Linked DNA regions of Lytechinus pictus. The protein of the gene in region 1 interacts with the protein of each later gene in a pairwise test. Links are inferred from orthologs where the notes say so. Each region holds a gene or a part of one and is shown in the gene's direction. Other genes may lie near its edges. The genes, in order: serine/threonine-protein phosphatase PP1-beta catalytic subunit, uncharacterized protein LOC129271240 and nuclear inhibitor of protein phosphatase 1-like.

The links.
Region 2: the proteins of serine/threonine-protein phosphatase PP1-beta catalytic subunit (region 1) and uncharacterized protein LOC129271240 interact in a two-hybrid assay, tested with the Drosophila melanogaster proteins (2 studies listed by BioGRID). The link is inferred for Lytechinus pictus from reciprocal best matches to the Drosophila melanogaster genes flw and Sara.
Region 3: the proteins of serine/threonine-protein phosphatase PP1-beta catalytic subunit (region 1) and nuclear inhibitor of protein phosphatase 1-like interact in a two-hybrid assay, tested with the Drosophila melanogaster proteins (2 studies listed by BioGRID). The link is inferred for Lytechinus pictus from reciprocal best matches to the Drosophila melanogaster genes flw and NiPp1.

Annotation. Positions count from the first base shown.
Region 1 is NC_087251.1:11,502,087-11,510,370, forward strand, and holds the start of serine/threonine-protein phosphatase PP1-beta catalytic subunit, read left to right. Parts: upstream 1-4,965; 5' UTR 4,966-4,997; intron 4,998-5,135; 5' UTR 5,136-5,281; coding exon 5,282-5,333; intron 5,334-8,284. UniProt on the Drosophila melanogaster protein: Required for cell adhesion in non-muscle tissues and in maintenance of muscle attachment. Vital for larval development.
Region 2 is NC_087255.1:33,955,178-33,963,118, reverse strand, and holds the start of uncharacterized protein LOC129271240, read left to right. Parts: upstream 1-4,717; 5' UTR 4,718-4,796; coding exon 4,797-7,433; intron 7,434-7,941.
Region 3 is NC_087261.1:1,178,344-1,185,843, reverse strand, and holds the start of nuclear inhibitor of protein phosphatase 1-like, read left to right. Parts: upstream 1-4,425; 5' UTR 4,426-4,730; coding exon 4,731-4,756; intron 4,757-7,500.

The DNA of each region.
Region 1 (8,284 bases):
AAAAAAAATCAGTCGATCCATTCCCCTGTTCAATCTGACTGATATTTTCCCCCTTTTCATATTATTCCTTATAAGTTACCTCTTTGCTAGAAAGAAATCAGGCGAAACACATTTAGACCCGACAAGAGAGTATAGCCCCCGGCCCTGGTCCATACCGTCCATTTTGCCCAAAAGTTCTCACTCCCAAAATGGACTCGATAGCTCAAAATCACACCCCACCTAAAATCCAGTATCATGAATTTAATAGTATTCCGAGAGCAAATATTATAGTCAAGGCGTTATTTTTCACCAATCACACCCCCTACATTTAAATGGTTCCTTTTTTAATTATTTTTTTTACTGAGGTCCATTTCACTATTTCTCGCCTTCTCACAATTGTCACTTTCATGATTCAATTTGAATTGTTTATTGAAATTTTATCGATGGAAAGGCTAACAGTAATTTTTTTTTCTTCTATTTTTGTTCTTATAAATATATAAAGGGCTTACTTCTGGACCTCTGACTATGCAGCTCGATATCCCCTCAGATTTCTGAAAAGTCTACTATCAGACACTCTGAAAGGGTGAAGATATCAAAATAATTGGAAATAAAATATATTTTCAATTGGTGATTGTGAAATCGTGAAATAAATAGGCCTATACTGGGCAAATCAGTGATAACGAAATGTCCATGTTTTTTTTTTTTTTGCTTCTTGAAAAAAATAGTACCCCCTTCATTTTAATTGGACCCCCCCCCCCCCCATTTTAACAAACATAAAGTCTCCAATTGAATCGTTTACTCGGACTATATTTATTTAGAGCTGGTAATCAAGTGCTCAATTTCAGTTTAATCAGTGCATGGACCTCACTTTCCATAATAACTGCACATTTTCAGCATAAGTGTTTAACAAGTATTCTTAATCTCAGTATACTATTTTATTTCCTTTTAACGGCCTCTCTAATTTTTCCGCTTGCGACCACTTGGATACATTTTGCTAAGGATTGCAACGGTTACAAAATACGTGAAGGCTTCTTAACGGCAAGTGCCCCTTTTAAGCTAAGAATTAAACAAAAAACAAACAAAAACACTGTATTAACACAAGTGCGCTTGTGTTCCGGCCATTCTAAATGTTAATTTTCCCAAGCCAACTTACTTCATGATGTTCCTTTGTATTTTGTGATATCTATTTTGTCTTTTTACGATCATTTCCCTAATGAATATTCCCGTGTAAATGTTACCCTACTAGTAAGATGGCGATCTTAAAATAAAATTGATTATATCAAAGAGCACGGGCGGATTCTGATTCTGCTTTCGCCAATAGTGAGAGGCGAAAAATATATTCATCCACATTTTCCCTGATCGGCCGCTCACAAAGGTGAGTTTTGTTGGTTAATTTCAAGGGTTAGTCTTCTTGGCTTTATTCTTATAAAATTGATAATTTCATCTCATAAGCCCTAATTAAATAATGCGAGCGCGAAGCCAGAGCTGATTTTTTTTTGTAATTTCATGTTGTTTGTCCTGAAAATTGAACATTCTTTGCAACATGATTGATCAAGAACAATTTTATGAAAGGAAAAATAAAGGAGAGATTTAGACCTAAAAACTGGACACTCTTTTTATATTTTGTAATCATGTAAAAGATGGGTATCTTCCTACATGAATCCCATGAATAAAACGAGCGCGAAGCGCGTGCAGAGCTTTTTAAGTATTCTAATCTGAAAATGGAAAATAAGTAAGCACGTTTTAAACAAAGAGCTAGCCATGCGTGCGCGAAGCGCGAGCTCTGTTTCTTTTCACTTTTTTTCACAAAACATATTTTATCATTGTGAAAAGGAAGAGTACTTCCTAAATCAATAATGCGAGCACATAGCTCAACTTAAATTCTTGATTATCCTATCTGACAAGGGGAAAATTTAAGCACTATGTAGAAAAAATTGTGAAGAGGATATGGATATGGATTGCACTTAATAAATGATGCGAACGCCAAATACGAGCTGATTTTTTTCAATATAATTATTTTGATATATAGGAACGGGATATATATTCAAAGCGCATTTTTGTATCATATTCCTCCTAGTAAGTGCGAGCTCAAAATTGTTGATATTCGGATCTAAAAGGGACAATTTGAGGATTAGGAATTCATGAAAAGGATATAATTATCTCATTTAATATTATAATAGGCGTAATGAGAGCGCAAAGTTTGCCGATATTAATTACAACATGTAAGCACTTTTGTAATGATGAATATGATGGGTTTATAATTTAATGCAAGCGCAAAGCGCAAGCCGAAAGTTTTGATAAACTCTCATTAAAAGGCCGGGATAGAATTCATATAGAAGTACATAACTCACTAACAAAAATACGAGCGCGCAGCGCTGGCTGATAATTTTGGACAATCAGACCTGAAAACAAATATTCTAAAATGAAGTACACAAGAGAATAGGTAGGCCTATTTCACAAATCAAAATTTCGAGCTTGCAGCGCAAGCTAAAAAAATGACATTCTAACCATAACACAAAATATTTTAAGTGCACTTTTTTTTCTAAAATAAATGGGTAAATCAAAGAAAATAATGAGAGCTCGATGTCCGAGCTGAAATATGTTTAAATGTAGGCCCACAGTGACTTCTCTGAACCAGATACTAATATTTGAAGCTCCGTATCAGCCTATTGAGCAAGATATGTCCGAGTCATCGAACAGGTATAAGCGATCATAATTTTTTTTCTTCTAATTTTCTAAGTCTTCCAATCGTCATCATCTTATTCACTTGTCTTCCTCCTCTTATTTTTTTCTCTTCTTTTCATCTTATCTCTTTCCCTTCTATTTCTCTCCCTTTTTTGCACCGCCAATATAGGGGGGGGGGGTTCTTTCGTCCCCCATGGATCCGCCTATGAGAAAGAGGTTTAAAATTGAGATTCCCAGCATAAATCAGTGTCATGGCAGCTCTATAATAGGGCAGTTCCTAGCTACACGGTGGGCATAATCCGCCTCCCCGCCCCCCACATGGTGACGTGTTAAGGCGGCAATCATTTGAATTAGGACGAGTGGAGGGGGGGGGGGGGTACCGACAGTAAAAAGGGCATTACTATGAACTACCAATACAACCTTGTTTACAGGGAAACTAGTGACTGCTAAATGAGGACGGGGGGGGGGGGGCTTGGCGACTTCACATTTTTCCAAAGGCAAGTAACAAAAAACGTTTGAAATACCCCCCACACACACTTTCAGAACGGTGCACGAACCGCGGCCGGCCGCCCCTGCAAAAGAAATCGATTATTCTTAAAAGCCCATCTCTGATCTCGACTAGAAATTAATAATATTTATAAGATAATAATAATAATATCTATAAAATATAGGGCTATATGTTCAATTCATCGGCATAATTTGATGCTCAAGTGAAGTCATTCATAACTATAATGGTAATTCAGTAGCCCATTTGTTTGTGAAATTTGATTGCCTTTTACTCCCGATTTGAAACGTCTAATTTCAGAAATTGAGGGCTGTGTGTGATCAAATTCCTTTATCACCACATTATGCATCTATACAGAGGCGTCAATCCTTGGGGGGGGGGGGGGGGGGCGGCAGGGGGGGGGGGCGATCGCCCCACCAATGAAAATATGGGGGGGACAAACATATCGTTTTGCCCCCCCCCCCCAATAATTCCGCATGTGCAATAATAAAGTAAGATTGTAATGTTACACAGAAATCAGCAAGCGATACACAACTCGTTCTTTATTTAAAATCGTGCTCAAAATGTCCGCTTTTTAGATTGGAATATAAAAATTTTCAGCTCGCACTTCGCGCTCGCATCATTTCTGTAGCAAAAACCCATACTGCTTTTCATGATTAAATAGGTGAATAGAATGTCTCGTTTTCAGTTCTAAACCTCAAAAGAACTCCCGCTCCGATTTGCAATAGCAATAATCTTTTGTTGAATATATGTCTTGTTCTTTATTAAAAAAACTCCATTAAACACAAATTTTTTCAGATCGAAATATCAAAATTTTCAGCTCGCGCTTCACGCTTGCATCTGTTGTTCTTTTAGATACCCATCTTAATCATTAGTACCAAAAATGCTTAGAAAATCAAGCTTTCAGGTCAGAATATAAAGACATTTCAGCTCGCTCTCGGCACTCGCATTATCTGTGTAGTGAAATATGTATCCTCCACATGAGTTACTACAAACAGGTATCTTTTTCCTGCTTTCAGGTCAGTATACTAAAAAATTTCAGCTCGCGCTTTGCGCTCGCAATAATTTGTTGGTGAGATATGTGTCTCTTTCTCATGAGTCATATATATATATATATATATAGGCCTATGTGGGTGTGTGTGTGGGGGGTGAGTTTGTTTGTTTTGATCGAGTGCCTTTGGAACGTTGATTCATGACTTTGCCCCCCCCCCCCCCCAATCTGAAAAATGGATCGACGCCCCTGCATCTATAGGCCTACAGCAAATATCTCTATAAAAAAAAAGGAACTTGGAAAAAAAAGAATCGATTCCGTTTGTTACGGGACGGCAGCCGGGGTTATACATTTTTGTGGTAAATTAGACCTTCATTCAGGGATCGGATGAAAATTAATGTAAACAAAATTACATGTAATCTTCAGAAGACGAGCAAAATAATTGAAAACCGAAGATCACTTAAAAATTGCACAAAGTCGCTAGCCATGACATTATTCCCATCATGGACCTACTCGCATAACTTGGCCGAAGTGTAGCAATCAAAATTTAGGGAAAACCCCCTCTTGAGTAGGTTAAGCGGGCCCATAAGCGGACCGGAACAATACAAGGAAGTACTAAAGGGATGCATGCCCTGGTTTTTATCTCGACTAGGCTTATGAGACATATTCTTATTAAAGAATGTCATTTCATTGAAATTGTCTCTATTTTTCACTCAATAAATTGATAAAACGTATGTCCTGAAATTTGTGACCCTGTACTATGAAGGATGGGGCTCATTTTCCAAATAAGGAAATTCCCGTCCCTATGACGTCATGGTCCTGAAAGTGTATTGCAGGGCAAGTTTGATTTTGTAGAGAATTATTCTGAAAATAATTGGAATTAGATTATATGAAACTATTGTTTAGGTACATAAAATCTTTTTCTGTTGGAATCTATATTTTTCCTTAATTTTAGACTCTCGGCTTTTCTCACAGAACAGCTCGAATCTCCGAGCCGAAACAGAATTCCTCGCTCATCACGTCCGATCATTATAACGTACCGGTACACGGCCTACTAGAACGGTTGGCCTGCCTGGGTTAAAAATCGCCGATCAATAGTTTCTCACCGGCACTTTCTAATCATGGCGGATTTGGAATTGGATATTGACAGCATTCTCACTCGTCTACTGGAAGGTATTACTGTTGACATATTTGTAATGTGTTGTGGGTGATTATTTTGTACATTGTTGCTTTAATGGGTCAAAAATCATGATTTTTTTTCGAACCAGGAAGCGTTTCAGTAAACGCTGCGTGTAATCCGCAGATGCTGTGTGTTGCGTGAATGAGCTCGGTACGGTACCGGTATAGGCCTAGTGCATTCGTGATCAAATGCAAATGACTTCAATCAGCTCCAAAGCAACGTCGGTTCTGTTCATTAATATTTATGAGAGCAAATCGTTGTTCAAGAAAGTGCTTTTTTAGTTGAACACATTTGCACTTGCAAAATTAAATCTGCCATAACTGGTGATGATTGTCAGATGAATGGACATGATGGAGGTGGAATTAAATTTGAGTCAACTGAAAATGAAATCAAAGCTGAATTTACAGAGTTATTTGTAACGTTACAAAGTGTGCATGCGTGTATTCTGGGGGGGGGGGGGGGGAGGCGAGTAGGCGAAAAAGAGGGCGCCAAAAGAGAGGAAAAGAAAATGGAGAGTTAAAAGAAGGGAAAGAAGAGAAAGGGGAAAAAGGGAAAGAAATAGAGAGGGGAAAAAGGGAAGGGGGTGGGTGCCGAATTGATGTTCGGCCTAGGGGGGCGCCAAGTTGATGTTCGACCTACATTGTAGGAATGTAGGGGGCGCTGAATTAATATTTTACTTTAGTGGCGCCAAATTAATAGGACTTAGTGGGGCGGGGAATTGAAATTCGACACTGGTGCCGGATTGATCCTCAACCTGGGGGGGGGGGCAGAGAATTGATGTTCTACCTAGGGGTGCCGATTGGAAGTTGATGTAGGGGCGCCAAATTTATGTTCTACCTAGGCTATGGGTTGCCGAATTGATGTTCGACCTAGGGGTGCCAAATTGATATTCGACCTAGGGGTACTGAATTGAAGTTCAACATAGGGGTGCCAAATTTATGTTCTACTGTACCTAGGGGCACCGAATTGTTACATTTGACATGGGGGGGGGGCACCAAATTGATGTTCAACCAAGGAGGGCGCCGAATTGATGTTTAACCAAGTGGGGCGCTGAATTGAAGTTCGACATACAGGCGCTGAATTGATGTCTGACCTAGGGGCACCAAATTAATGTTTGATATAGGGGGCGCTCGCATCAATTGTTTAGATAGATACCCATCCTATTCATGGTTACAACATGTACTTTAGAACATCCAGTTTTGGTTTTGACTTCGGAAATCGGAATATCAAAAATTTTCACCTCACACTCTGCGCTCGCATAAAGTGATTTGTTAGATACCCACCCTGTTCATGATTACCAATAGTGCATATAATGTGCAGTTTTGGGCGGAAATTCAAAAATTTTCAGCTTGCGCATTGCGCTTGCAAAAATGTTGAGATAGATGCCCATCTTCTTCTTGATTACCAAAAGTGCTTTACTTTCAAACTTTAATAATAATATAATAATTACATGTATGGTTGAAACTACCCCTTATCGACCACCTAATCTTCTAAGCTTCGTATCTGCGAAAATATTCATCAATTTTTACCCAGATTTCGTCTCATTTGTGCAGAAAATTGAGCAGATCAGATTCCTATGTTTCGCTCGGCGACTCTGATTCAATCCGCGTATCGACGAACAACGAATACGACAATTTTACATTTGCTCATTTGCACCCGTCTTTTGAAACCGACCACCCGTGTTACGCTAAGTTTACGGCCGATTCTTGTCGCAGTGGTGAAATATTTTTACTTTTCAAAATCAGTTCTATGATGTCAACATGTTAAATTATCGTCTCAATACTTCCACTGCGAGCTCCGGCACATGATTCGACGATTGACGACGGATATTCGTTCTAAAGCTGTTTCCTATCGGATTTCTTGGTTTTTCAGCGGGGTTTGGGTCTGGTCAATACAATTTTGATTAATTCTACTAAATTTTTACTTTTTGTTTCTTTTTTTCTCGTAAAATCGATTCTTACCGTTTCTACGGACACTGCGCCTACTCTCCCGCGCGTATCGTTTGTAATACGCAATAATTTTAACACGCGCAAGGTGGTCAGTTTCAAAAGAGGTGGTCGATATGTGGTAGTCTCACCATACTTCTTATTAAGCGCTTTTTCAAAAGTTACAAAGCGCTGTACAAATGACAAAACAAATACAATCGGTGAAAACTTAAAACAAAACTACACAAAATGAGATTTAAGCATCTTCTTAAACACATCAATAGAAGAACATTGTCTAAGTTTATGGGGTAATCTATTCCAATATTTGGGGGCAAACACAGAAAATGACCTATCACCTACTAATTTTAATGTTCGGGGGATGTGAAGATGGATATGTGATGATGACCGAGTGTTGTTCATTGCTTGAGGTCAAAATATCAACATTTCTCAACTCGCATTTCGCGCTTGCATTAATTGTTTCTATACGTATACCCATCATGTTCACAGGTACAAAAAGTGCTTAGAATATGTAGATGAAAATATTTTTTGGCCTCCCCCCCATAGTGAAAGCTGGATCCACCACTGGTAAAGAAACGTCAGCTCCTGCCCACATAATTTTAGTAAAATTGAAACCCCAAAGTGCTTAAAATTCTATGCTTTCAGGTGGAGGCATTTCATAAAGCTGTTTGTAAGTTAAGAGCGACTTTAAAGGACAAGTCCATCCTAACACAAAGTTGATTTGAATAAAAAGAGAAAAATCCAACAAGCATAACACTGAAAATTTCATCAAAATCGGATGTAAAATAAGAAAGTTATGACATTTTTAATTTTCGCTTAATTTCACAAACAGTTTTATGCACATCCTGGTCAGTATGCAAATGAGGAGACTGATGACGTCATCCACTCACTAATTCTTTTGTATTTTAATTTTTATTATATGAAATATGAAATATTCTAATTTTCTCCTCATTGTCAAGTGAAACAACGATGAATTCCTCCTGAACATGTGGAATTAGCAT
Region 2 (7,941 bases), on another chromosome or scaffold:
TACTATATAGTAGTCCACTATTCTGCAGGGGATTCATTTAATTGCGGGACACTAAAGGGTATATAACCAGCAAAATGCTACAAGTAGTGGTACTACTACTACTACTACTACTATTACTACTGGCCGTAACAGACCCATCACCGCCCCTAAACTTCCCGGGAGATACTGCTCAGCCGCTGGTCAGACTCGAGTCAACTCCCAGCAACTCCACCCCAGCTTCCCTCACTGCACTGCACAGCGGAGATCGATAATCGACGCCCCGGATCGACCGGTAGAATCGCATGAAATATTACATTTTTTCCATATCCTGTGGGTAGATTTACAAAGACATCTCGTCCTTTCAGTGCAGAGTTAATTTCATCGACTTGCAAATCCTTAAATCGGTCAATATTCAGCGTTTTAGAGGCATATTCAGTGATCTTTGATATTTCGTCGTCACTCTTTGCCAAGAATCCAAGGGTCGCCATTCAAGAGGAGCTCATGAATATTTAATATGACGTCATAGCAGCTCGCGCTCTCATTGGATGATTTTCACCGACCAGTTTTTGGTCGGTGAATTGGTAAAAACAATAAAAAACAAAAGAAAGTCGGTGAAATTTGGCACAGATGTCAAGAGGCCCCGTCTCGCGGCGCTCTGCTTCGCTCTCTCCCGTGCTTTGCCATGTTTGCTTGGAAAGCAGCCGACAGGGCCTCGACAAGAGGCTATATACATGTAGGCATGGTGAATGATACATTCATCAATAGACCTGTGTATTAAAAGCTTAAAGGTTTAGAAACCTGATAAAGATAGAAAGCTCATTAGAGACAGGTTACACTGCATGAACTGCAAGTAGATCTAATTCTCAATGGGTGTTTGTAAACATGTACAGTGCATGCATGCGTACAGTGCCGTTTAATGTACATGTTCTATCTAGCATTCTAGCTTACCTTTTTTAAAAGTCCTGGAAATAATGTCTTTACAAATACATTCACAGTGTTGGCAGAGCTCTCTTTATGAAGCTGTAAAAGTGTCTGTGACAGGGGAAAAATAACATGGAAGCTCAGGGCAATTTCACCCTCAAAATGCTCATAATCATCATTCATTGTAATTTTAAAGCTTATCCGATGTTGAATATTTTAATAGACATTAAAGGGGAAGTTCACCCTGACAAAAAGTTTATTGTAAAAATAGCAGAAAAAATAATAAAAAATATTGCTGAAGGTTTGAGAAAAACTCATCAAATAATTAAAAAGTTATTAGAATTTCAATTATTTGATTTGTGACGTCATATGCGAGCAGCATTCCTACATAGCGAATGGTAAAAAATCAATGAAATGTCATTTTCTCAGAAAATTGAAAATGGTTTTCACTATACCTTTTGTATATCAATAGACAAATCATTTCACACCCGATCATGAATAGAAAACAAAAATAAATCATCAGGAACCATGCAAAATTTGAAATTCATGCATTTTATATTACATAACACATGGGGCAGCTGTTCGTCTATGACGTCACAAATCCAAAACTTCGAACTCTAATAACTTTCTTACTCTTTAACGGATTTTCCTCAAATCTTCACCAATATTTTTTACTATTTTTTCTGCTATTTTTACAACAAAGTTTTCTTCAGGGTGAACTTCCCCTTTAAGTTGTGATAAGTAGCCCCGAAAATGTAAAATTCATTATTTTTGCTGGGCCGTAAAGTGTGATTTAAGAAATTTTGGAAGGTTGTTAAAGTCCCTATTAAAAGCTTATGTCTGTACACAACAGAGCTCAAATAATTCAACTCAAGGCCACCAAAGGCCATGACCTTGCGCCCTTTCAAATGTTTGTACGCCACCCCCCCCCCCCCCCTCTTGCATTCAAATACTTCCGTAAATTTTGCGGCCTGGCCTTAAGAGTGATGTGAGTGGCTTTTACATACATGTGAGTTTACTGAACTGAGTATCTAGAGGACTCAAATTGAAATCTGAAAGGGTGACACACCCCTGTACCATATTATTCATGAGTGCCCCCCCCCCCCAATCTTGCAAAATTATTGTTTCCACAGTGTATGGCGGTATTTGTGAGGAAAATTAATTAAGTTTAAGATCCATGATTGTTTTCATATTTTTTCAGATTTAAGAAAAGTACATACATGGAATACATTCATGTGACATACATACATATATATGATGTATGACACTTAAAATATCCGAAATCCCGTTGGTCATTCTGTTGTCATAAAAGCGTCTGTGGGAGTTTATAAACAACTTTGCCTGTCCAACTGTGAAAGCATTGCATGAGTCATTATAGGACATTAGGCTCAGTACACCCAGATGGCAGTTTAATTCATTCTGTGTTGTGATCACAATCACTGTCCCAAAAGACAAGCTTTCGTCCTGGGCGATATATTGCTTGGCAGTACATAATGTACAGGACATGTTTAGGGCCTGTGTACATGCAGCTTTCATTGCTCATGTGCAATATTTTGATGATTACAGTTTACATTCAAATTTGTTTAAGGTGGCAATTTGCAAGGGGAGAACAAAATGAGATTCTGGGTTGATTGTGAAGTGCTGCTTTTATTGCGGGGACTTTTCAGCTGAAACAATGGAGGGGATTACCCAGTATTTGGGCTGATGTCGCCTCAGGAATACTAAAAATAGCCCTGAAGAATAAAAAAAAAGACTCCTGAAAAAACCCCATTCACTGCAATTTCATGTTTGATTTTGCAGATCTATTTTAATAACCAGGACTTTGTCAAGGGTAGTCCCCTCAAAACTAATTTTCCTACTGGCTGAAACCCTTTACATACAGTACTGTGTAGGCAATCTTAAAATTATCTTAGACTTGGATGATAAAATTCAACTCCTTTAATTTAAGCCTTGAGGTACATGTAGACCTACCATTTATCTGGTTGAAAGCCATTGCCAAGAGAAGGGGTTAGATAGAAATTAGAAATAGACATGGTGGCCACTACACATGACATGACTGTTAAATGATATCATAACATACATAATTATCTTGACCCTTTGTCACAGCTTTAGAATGGATTTATTGATGATCTTTGAAATGCACTTTTTAATTTTTTTATATATTTTCTTATTCTTATTGATTTTCGCTGTTATACAGTAAGTTTAAAGAAATAAATCTTACCGAAATTAAATGTTTGTGTACATTGCAATAATCGAAAGCAAATCAATTTAACAATCCATATAACAAATCAACTACATGTATAATATAGACAAAATATGTTTACTTCTTTGAAAATGAAATTTTTCCCAAATCTGTGATTCTCCTTCATAAAATGATAATGCTACAAATCAGTTTTTGTGGATCAGGAGACTGTGAAAGATAGCTTTGCTTAAAAGGTCAAGTCAACCCAAGAAAATTTTGATTTGAATAAATAGAGAAAATACAAACTACTGTAGCATAACGCTGAAAATTTCATCAAATTTGGATGTAAAATAAGAAAGTTATGGCATTTTAAAGTTTCGCTTAAGTAGTTTTCACGAAACAGTGATATGCACAACTTATTGGCATGCAAATGAGAGAGTTGATGATGTCCCTCACTCACTATTTCTTTTGTTTTTATTGTCTGAATTATACTGTATTTCATTTTTCACAGATTTGACAATAAGGACCAACTTGACTGAACCATGATAGTATTAAACAATGCTAATTCCACATGTTCAGGGAGGAATTAATCGTTGTTTCACTTGACAATGAGGAGAAATCAGAATATTTCATATAATAAGATACAAAAGAAATAGTGAGTAGATGATGTCATCAGTCTCCTCATTATGCATACTGACCAGGATGTGCATAACTGTTTTGTGAAATTAAGCGTAACTTTAAAATGTCATAACTTTCTTATTTTACATCCGATTTTGATGAAATTTTCAGTGTTATGCTTGTTGGATTTTTCTCTGTTTATTCAAATCAACTTTTTGTTGGGGTGGACTTGTCCTTTAAGCTTTATTAGTCCTACATGTAGTCTGCGAGCACAGACTCATATTTGACACTTTACAAATTACAGTACGTACATGTACATGTCTAGAGTGAAAGACTAGACTCCAAACTATCTGTCTCTTTGGTACAAGCAGCAACAGTACTTATAGTGAATATAGTCTCACTACTTCAGACTGCGTTACATGTATGCACTATGCAAATTGTGAAAAGCAAAGGTCTGTGCCTATATACTAGCTGTAGCTGGCCATGGTTGTCAAGAAGAGGTGTAGAATGACATGTACTATGACATAAAATTTGCCATTTGATTGGATCATAATTGGTCAGAGGCTTTCAGACTTGTCTGAAGGAGAGGATTACTAACTACTAGAGGATCCTCAGTTTATAAATTGCAGACCGAGGACAAGGACAAATGGGGCCTACATGCAATGTTGAAGAAAATCCCTAGAATTGTAGTCCAGTGTAGATGTAGTCTGCAAGCATAGACTCATATTTGTTCACAAATTATAATATTTCTAGGATGAAGTCTACACTCCAAACCCTCTGGCAAAAATATTCATGATTGACAGATATGTGTCTTAAATCCAAAACGACAAAGTCTGTCTTGCTCCATAGTATATTACAGTGTACATGTTTGAAATTTGTCTCAGACATCAGACCGCATTCATTCACATGCAAAAAACCCAATGTACATGTAAGTGTACTCACATACTGCATGCATTTTCGAAATCAAGATATTTATTAATTCCCCTCTCTCTCTTTCTTGCTATTCCCTACTGCAGAATTTGTGGAACCCAGCGTCCAGCAAGCCAACTGGAAGGCTATTCCATCTCACCTTCAAGGGTCAGGCTCTCAACCTTACATGATGTCAAACACTGGCAAACCTGACTTCAATCTTACTCACACAACACCACACTCCAATGGTCTCTCTTTAGAGGATGTCCAGCAAGGGGGGCTGACCAATGGGTCTGTGGATGGAGATCAACGGTCGCAGTCAGATGCAGCATCCAGTAACTCTGGAAGTGATCTGCTGATAGATTTGTCAGAGGCAGACTTTGCACCATCTGCCAAGCCATCTTCTCTTCTCTCTGCTCTGAAAGAGAGCTTGGCTGCTGAGAAGGAAGCAGAGCCATCTGAAGCAACTGCCTCCGACGAGAACATTGGAATCACTGGTGAGGTCATGTATTCAGACAGTAATTCCCAGCTAGATCGGCAAGACTTTACAACATATTCAACAAGATCAATGTCAATAAGTGATTTGAATAATATTGACTCCTCACCACCTACAGAACAATCTGAAATGAAAGGACATTCAAGTGAGGAACATTCATCAAAACTTGATAGCAATCAAGAACAAATTCCTGTATCCACTTTTTCACAAATGGCACTATCAAAGAGCAACTCAGAAACTTCAGGAAGTGTGCGGGACACAGTAGGTGAGTCTACTCCAAATACCTTTGGTCAAATATCCGAACAAAATCATGAGCATTCTTCCACCAAGAGTGGAACAGAACAAAACTCAATGGATGACATCCTCTTTACTAGAACTGAAGATGAATCAGTGTCTGTTGAAAGATCGATTGATAAACCAGTTGAAAAACCTGTTGAGAGCAGTGGTATTCAGAAACCTGTGGAGCAAGAGACGGCAGAAATGGGATCGATAGAACTGAACAAAGACGATACTTTGGAGAAAGGTTCACCAACCAGTTATACCTCGAGCTCCAGTACTCCACCAGTGGATTCAGAAACCATGCAGGAATACATGAGACAAGGTGCAAGACCAAAGCAATTAGGTTACAAGACTCCAGAACAGAGCCCTCTGAAAAACACAAGCGACAAGGATCAGGGGAAAGAGGAGCCGCCATCAAATGTGATAAGAGTGACCGAGTCACCGCCCGTCATTGGATTCAGTACTCTGTCCAATGTGACAGTGTCTCAGTCAGAACTTGATGAATTGGATGATCATGATTCAAAACCATTGGCATATGATGTGTCTGGGAGTGAGGTTTTAAGAAGGGATGGGAAAATGCCCACTTTTGGACCAACGAATCAGGATGTTTCTGTGATGGCAGGGGATAGTCAATCACCTTACATGTTGACAGGGCAAGATGAAATGATGAACAAGGACAGGAACACCATGGACAGCAGTGTGGCACCTTCAGCACCGGGATTGGTACCACTACGGTCAGATATTGCATCTCCGACAACTGCGAGGGTTCCTCGCAACACTATGAAACCATTGAATAATGACATTTCAGCACCACCCAATGTGAGTATTACACCCCATAGTAATCACTTGAGCATTCCCGATGATCAGGACAATATCGAAGATAGAATTAGTCCTTTATCAAAGATTCTTGATCAACAGTATAGGTTGGAAATGAACAATTCCAAAGGAAATGACAATGAGTTAGCCAAAGTGGACCCATTTTATGGAAGCAATCCTCAGTTTGAATCTTCAACGGAAGAAGAGGTTGTACCTGCTGCTTTGTCCAACATTTTAAACCCATCTATGCATACCAAGTTGCAGTCAGGAGATTGTCCTGGTGTGGTTTCTCCTGGCAAAGCTGACCCTTCATCAAGTGTCCATCCAGCTGTGAGCACTCTAGGTTTTGGAATCACCCAGCCATCTGTCGATGTCAACATTTCTGTTATGCCAAAGATGAATAATGAAAGACACCAAGTTAACCCTGACACTGTAAGCCATGCAGCCAGCCATCAAAATGGGGAGCAGGACCTGCCCCTTGTTGACAAAGAACATCAAAGACAACCAAACACATCTCATCTGTCAAGCCCTATGAACAATCATACAGAACTTAGTCACCAGGTCAGTGAAAACAGCAGACTGCAAGATCTTGCCCCCGTGCAAAATTTTTCAATTCCAGCTGGGGCTCCTCCGGAATTATCCACAGCTCAACCAGTTCCACCTTCAATGTCTCCAGAGCTGGCTGTTGAAGCTAACCTTGAGGATTCATTAAACAATTTACCGCCGGACCCTCCATCTTACCAACAGGTGGAACAAGCAACACACAAAGAGCGCAATATTTCCCGTCATGGACTGACTCTTGACTTTGGCATGGGTGGATCGGAACAAATGAATGGATATCCCGATGAACACACACAGGGCATTAATGAGAGTGACCCGTCTCATAATCCACATTTCGTGGCACCGCCCAACGTCTCGTTAACACCGGGCATGGGTCTTCCGGTTGAGCAAAGCCAAAACGGAGCCATGCCTTCAGGTAATGGGAACATGCCCGGTGATGTCGGTGTTGTTGAGAATGGAGAGTTGGCTGTGTCTGAGGGAATGGATCCGATGACAGCACAGAACAATGCAGTGAATGCTCAACACATGGTACCAGCTCCAGGAGGTGGTGAACCTGTGCCGGGTGATGTTGCACCTATCTGGATTCCTGACTCAGACGCACCTTCCTGCATGGGGTGTAACCTGAAATTCACCTTCAGGAAAAGGAGACATCATTGCAGAGCATGTGGAAAGGTAAACAATAGCTTTTTTTAATTTGTTTTTGTTTTTATTTGTGTAACATGATTGATGAATAACCATTTTTGGTTGACTTTATCTCAGGGGCGGCAGTTTTTCTGCAACATTATGTACTTGTAATTCAGACCAGGTTCTAAAAAAAATCATCAATCAATAAAATGTATATGGCTTCAGACAAATTCATAAGATATATCTACAAATATGTAAATGTATTAAGATTCAATTATTTTGCTAATGGTTCCAAAACTGACCTGGGCATAATTCAAATTGTATGAAGAGCAAAGTGTAGAAATACATAACTCATGTCAAATACAATAAAATATATTCATAGATGAAGCAATTCTTATGATACCTTATGCTTGTACTCTTGCAAGGAATATACAGTATACCGTAGATAGTGTATTGACACAAAAATAGCTCATATGGATCCTTGTGTCTCTTTATCAGAAATGCAAAATGTACTCTTGATCAGAAATGTTCATTGCAAATGAATCCCCCTAAAGCC
Region 3 (7,500 bases), on another chromosome or scaffold:
ATCAAATAATGCAAGCGTGAAGCGCGAGCTGAAAATTTTTGACATTTCTACGTAAAGAATGGAAAAATTTAATCAATTTTTGTAATCGTGAACAAGATAGCTATATAACTAAGCAGTAAATAAAGAGGCTTTAATAGCAGGAAATCATAATTTATAAATAAATTTTCGGCATTACTCCTATGTGTTTAAGATCGCATGCTCGATCTTTAATGAAAATCATAACAGAAGAGGATTGAGGGTATTTGAATTCTAGTTCATCGTGATAGCCGTGAACAAGAATAGCCTGGTGGTTAAGTCGCTGCCCGGAAAGCAGTAGATGCAGGTTCGAATCCCACTGGTTCCAATTTTTTCTGACTTATGATGTTCATTGAAGATCGAGCATGCGATCTTAAACACATAGGAGTGATGCCGAAAATTTGTTTACATATATAACTAAACAATTAATTATTTGATGCGAGCGCGAAGCGCGAGCGTAAAAAAAATCGAGATTTAGACCTTAAAACGGGACTCTCAATTCACGTTTTGTAAATCATGAAAAGAATGAGTAATATGGGATTTTTTTTTTCTTTTGAAAATAATTTTATTGGTAACATAATCACATGAAATAGTTACATAAAATGTAAACAATGTCATACAAAGCATGAAATATTTTCTTCAACAATACTGTTTTCAAAAATACACAAATTTTTCCTTTTACAACGCTTCTCTATTTCTATACGATTACAAATCAACCTTTTGAATAAACACAGTATACCAAACTCATGAAATCGACAACTCCGACTTACTGTTCGAATAAAAATTGAATAAATAGCATACCTTGCATACATAATAAGAAGATTCAAAATTCTATACTCTTTATTTTTTAACTCATATCCTTTTATCAAAGTAGCAACATTAAAATCAAAATTAATGCCTACAACTTTATACACAATGGTACTAAATTTTGTCTTTTTTCTTACACGTTACAAATAAATGTACGCTGTCTTGTATTTCATTGTCATGTGAACATAAAGGATTATCCCTTAACTTCCATTTATACATATTATATTTATGAGGTAAAAGATTATGTAATAACTTATAATTAAACTCTGCTATTCTATTTTCTTTGACAGTTTGTAAATTAAATAACCATACAGATTTCCAATCAATTTCTTCTTGTAAAATATTTTCCCATCTTTCTTCAGCTTTAGGCTTAATACTTATGTTATTTGAAATAATGGTGTAAAATAACTTTGAACCTCTTTTCCTAATTACATTCGTCAAAATATTCTGTAGAATGTTTTCATTTTTAGGTTGAAGAATCTCAAAAAATAACTCAAACCGGTTCATTTTCCAAACTTTCGGTATGGCATTCATTACAATGTTATACTCCTGAAAAAGACTTGCATACTTTTTTTTCAAATAAAACTTCTATTTCCTTTAATGATTTGAGTTTGGAATCTGAAATAATGTCCTTTACCTTTAGAATTCCAATATCGAACCATCTTTTAAAAAACAATACATTTCCATTGCGATCTTTTATATTCGAATTAAACCACAAACTTTCCTTCTCGATCTGGACATTTTGAAAACCTGATTTATTTTGAACGGTTTGCTTAAAATTCAACCAGGCGTAAATTATTGCCTTATGATAATATGGCATTTTTATTTTATCTATATTTTATCTACATATACTTTAATTTCTTTTTCTGTACAGTTACTATGTAATACAAAATCTAATCCTCCAAATTGAGAAAGATAACTATCAATGGTTGTACTAAATTTCGATTCTTTGTTATTATAATGATACAAAATCCATTTCAATAAAAAGCTTTGGAGTAACATATTCAAATCAACCATTTTGAGTCCATCTAGATCATATTGCATACAAACAACCTTTCTCTTTACTTTATCTATCTTTCCATTCCAAAGAAAAGAAAACAATAGGGAGGTTAAAAGCTTTACAACTTTCTCTGGCATTATAATCATTTGAGCGTTATACAACATTTGAGAGATGAGAAATGTTTTAATTACAAGTATTTTTCCTGTTAAAGTTAGGTGACATGCATTCCATGATTTAATCAAACGTTCTACTTTCAATATTTATATGAGATCTTCGTACATTAATAATGCGAGCACAAAGCACGAGCAGAAAATTTTTGATATTGTGGTCTGAAACTGGATAATGATTTAAATTAAGAAAACAAGTTGAGTATCTGTATAAACATATGCGCGCGTGTTTCGACCTAGCTAGAATCTAGGCATTCTAAATAATCTTTTATCATGAAAATCAAAGTGAGCGTAAAGCGAGCGCGAGCTTAAACTATTTGATATTCCGATTTGAAAAAAAGAGTTTTGACATAGGACCGGGACATCCTTAGGACATGTGAATGACTGTCTTCCTATTCCTCTTGCTAAGCGCAAGATGAAACATAAGGGCAATTTAATTCTTAAATTAATATCTATGCCTATTCAATATTGAGGGCGCGAAATCTGATGATATTATGGCCTGAAAACTTGACATTTCAAGCACTTTTTTAATTATAAATAGGACGCATCAGTTAATGTATTTAAACCATTAAAGCGAGCGCAAATTGCGAGCTTAATTTTTTTATACACTGTCATGAAAAGGGGATTTAAAGTATAGTTTGTTGTATAATTAATATTGAGACATTATATAACTCACCAATCAAAATGCGAGTGTGCAGCGATAGCTGATACGTTTTTACAATCAGACCTGATAAGGGATATTTTGAAAATTTTATGGAATACACGAAAATAAAAGATACCTGATAAATCAAAATTTGCGAGCGCTCAGCGCGAGCACAAAATTTTAATATTCAGACCATAAAACTGACATTTTTACAGAGCACTTTTTAAAAATGAATTTGTAAATCCAACAAAATAATGAAAGTTCGATTTCCGAGATGAAATATGTTATGTATATTGACTTCAATACTTATTTCAAGCTACATATCAGCATATTGAGCAAGCTATGTATCTCACCCGGGGGGGCCACTTCCATTCACGAGTGGATACCATGCGCGACCATGGGGTCTCGAAAAGCACCCTAAACACGTAATTTCCATATTCTGAAAATGCACCCCTTAACAAGTATTGGCGTGTGAAACCCTACCCCTTAACAAGTATTGGAAACAAAACGATACTCTTTGCAAATATTCCCTGAAATGAACCCCTAAACAAGTACAGGAATGTTTTATTGTTACGGGTCCTTCGGTCGTCGGCTTTACCTTATTTGGTTAAGTACGACCCCACCTTCTACACCTCACGCAAATTGGACTCTAAACACGAAGTGTTGGGGCAAAAAGGACATCCTTTATAAAACATTTTAATTTTGTTTTATCATCCCCGCAAATTCGACCCTAAACACGTAATTGTCCTAGCGAAATAGATACCCTTTTTTCATTATTTTTGTGTTTTTGACACCCTTATCACGTTACGTACGTAACGTGCCCTATCGTGAAAAAGACATCCTTTTTACGTGTTTTTTTGGTCGCGCATGGTATCCACTCGTCAATGTAAGTGCCCCCCCCCCCCGGGGTATCTCATCGAACAGGCTATTCCCCTGACCTTATTTTATTCACTCGTCTCCCTCCTATTTTCTTCTTCTTTTTTCCTCCGTTCTTTCCCCTTCTTTTTTTCTCTTTCTTTCCCTTTTTTTTCATTTTCAAGGGGGGGAGGGCATCGGGCCCGGCCCGGCTTGATCCGCCAATGTATCACGGTCACCTTGACTTATCATATTTGAAACCTACATACCACGCATACCACATCATGCACACACGATAAGATAAATGATTATAGCTCTAGAACTACTCAAATATGCTCCTCAGAATAGATTATATGAGGTTGATTGTTATCATCCAGCGCACATTTTAAAAATAAATGTGGATTTCTAAACGGGACATCCAATCTTTGTTCTGATCAATATTTGTAACACATGTCGGACAAAAAATCATGAAAATTGTCATTTTGGTCAAAACATGGCAAGAATGACCACTTCTATTGTGATTTGGCAAATTGGCAAATGAAACCACTTTATTTGGAATCTGGGTGCATTTTTACTTAGGATGGACCTTAATTGGATGTGGTTACAAAAGCATTTTGTTATAAGGGACCATTTTCCAAAGAGTGGTCAAAATTGTCATTTTTGTTCAAAAATTGGCCAAAATTGCTCAAATGTCGTGAGTACGGTCAATAAGACTGACTATTTTGGAATCAGCACACAATTTTACCCCGGATAAGCCTGTCAAACCTTCCCCACCAAAAATTCTGAATAAAGCCCCCTTTAATTCTCCCGATCCTACATGTGGTGTGTGCCGCGCCCTGAACCTAAATGTGTGTGTGTGTGTGTGTGTGTATTTGAGTTTTGTCAGACGTGTATCAATCAGATATGATTATTTACGTCTGGGACCGACCTTTAACGTCACCATCCGAAAGACGTGACCTGGGGAGCGTTTCATGAAAGGACTTGTCGGACGTTTTATCCGACAAGTCCTGTTTTATCCGACAGTTACCATAGTAACAGTGCCTCACAGCCAATCAAAATCAAGGAAAGATGTCAGATCTGACAACTTGCCGGACAAAAATCTTGATGAAACGCTCCCCAGGGCTCGAACCTCTGCATCAATTTGTAACTTCCCCACAGCTTGGATTACAGGCGCACGCCACAACGCCCTAAACTTCCTAAACGTATCTTGACCGTAGATGGCAGCAATCCTTAGCTCGTCAACATGGCGAATTTCGAGGTACCGTCATGGTAAGATTTGTTTATTTATTTACTCAGTTTTTGGTAAAAAACAGATCTATTTATCATTTTCTCAGTGATATGGTCCGTGTGAAAATTGATCCGTAGATTTTTTTTTAAGATCTAAATGAAAAACAGTATGGGAGCAGCTGATTTTCAACCCTGTTTCTCGCTCGCTCAGGCTGCCTTCGCTTCGGGCGGGGCGCAGCCCGGCCCCGGCTCGGGAGCTCGCAGCGGACAAGGGGAGACTCCAACATTGGCATGGTGGCGTGGGCCGGGGATTGGGCGTGGGGCCTTATCCTGAAATAAGTCATCTCTCTTCTCGTGTGTGTCAGTGTGTTTGAGCTCGTTGTGTTATGAGTACAAAGTCAATGGGAGATAGATGAAGAAGTCACTGACGAAATGAACGATCGCGATGTCGCTGTCCAGTGAATGTAGTGGTGACTTAAACCAGGCAGGATATTTAGATAATAAGGAGCTTTCGATTGTCTGCGACTGCAACGTAGTCCTAGTTCACCGGAAGTGGTGACACCGCTCGTTCAGTATCACGTTCGTACATTGATGAAAACAGTTTCGATTTAAGTCGACGTACCCGTACCAGGCCACAGCATATACCAGCGTGATAGCGAGCGGGCCGTGGGCCGATGCTCGGCTGGAGAATCAGGCGTAGCATCACGCTACGAACCAGTGCCAGTGGGCGTGTGGGTGCAACATTTGCACTCTTGCGCAAAAAGCCGAAAAAAACACAGTTGTTTGGGAATAGAACAACAATTACCTATCGGATTAACCCAGAGAGCTCCCGCCCGCTGCGCGGGCGGGAGCCCAGAAGCTTACCGTGTATTTGACCATATTCACTGGACTAGGGTGATTTATGGTCTAAATATTTCTCCAAATGAATTGTGAAAACAGAAAGTATACAATTACCACAATTATATGGATGAAGGTCTAACGAGTGGCAGTTTCCTGACATCTGGGCACAGACTGGGACCTCAAAAAAACGAAAAGTTCTCTCCTCTACCCCAGTCTCGATCGGCCATTTTGTTACGATTTTTAACAAAAATGGCCGATCGGAACGGGGGTAGAAGGAGAGAACTTTTCGTTTTTTTGAGGTTCCAATCTGTGCCCAGATGTCAGGAAACTGCCACTCGTTAGACCTTCATCCATATATCGTGGTAATTGTATACTTTCTGTTTTCACAATTCATTTGGAGAAATATTTAGACCATAAATCACCCTAGTCCGGTAAATATGGTCAAATACACGGTAAGCTTCTGGGCTCCCGCCCGCTGCGCGGGCGGGAGCTCTCTGGGTTACTATCGGATATGTAGTGTCTGAAAACAGGACACACTAATGGAAAAGCTGGTAACAAGCAGTAATTTGCAGTTTACCAGCCCTGCTGAATCAACGAAACTCGAATGTTGATGCGGCTTCATTCATTTTTGCTAAGCTTGGATGACGTCATCATGTACGAACTAGCGCTCGTTCGAGCACTATGAGTATGATACCGAACGTCAAAACCCTCAAATACGAGTCACAGATTTGAGCAGTGAACGAGAAGGCTCGTCACAGATTACTTCGCGCATGCGCAGCGCTCCTAAAATTCCTTAATCTCGTACGTCCACATGGCTCCTCACAGAAAACGAAAGGTCTCCAATGCCGGGCTTGGCGGCGCAGGAGGCTCCGTCCTAAGCCTGCCCTTGGCTTAGGCTAACGTTCGACAGTGAAAATCATTTACTAATGTATCAATATTGTATGCTTACTCTCCACGGAGCCACGGACGGATGCCATTGCTCTTTGCACACCAAGTATTTTTCTTTGGCAACAAGTTGCTGCAAAATACCGGTACTTGTTTTCATAAGACTTTACTGTCTTTAAAGTTTAGTTTGTGAGCCCAAACTATATGACATAGACTAGACATTGTTCATGAAAGCAAGATTTATTTTACGTTGATCGTGTTAATTTTCTGGTTTGATTAAAGCACAGTACTGCGCATGCATGATTGATAAGCGATGACTTTCATTCATGAATTCATCGTGCATAAATCATCTCGGCACGAGCAGACGAGTAAGACTCGAACAATGATCGAAATCATTGAAATAAACTTCAAATTAATGGTGAATATGCATCATAATTGCACAATCGGTTTCATTTTCGGGGGAATATAAATCAAGTAAGTAGTAGTCAAGTTGGACATTACTGATATTTTGATGATTGATTGTGTGAACCAAACAAATCTTTTTTTTTTCGATGCACAGATTTGGCAAAATCTGCACCGGCGCTCGATGACATGGATCGAACACCGATTTTAAAATCGATTCGACTCAGGCTTAAAAATAAACTTGAAAGGACAAAAACAGTGACTTTCTTCAGCTGTCGCACAACTCCCACTTCCCTGGTTTATCGGAACTTAATACATAAACATATAGCCATTGAGTCCCTGTACAGATCGAGTTAGAACTTCGGTCTCTGTAATTGGTGAGTGGAGCCGACGGAGTTCAGCGGAACAATTAATTTAACAGAGAAAGAAGCTTTTGGTCTAGACATACACTAGAGCTAGATCTAAATCAATTCAAACTGTCTAGAATCTATATGTTTATTGTTCTTTTTTACTCGACTTTTCCAATGAAATTAGGCTCGGTAATTAACCTAGCTGTATATTCCATCAACTTCTCTTTTCCCTTAATTTTAGACAGTACTTAGGCTATCCACTATTCAATTAACTTTGTTCTTACTCCTCTTTTCCAACGAAATTACACA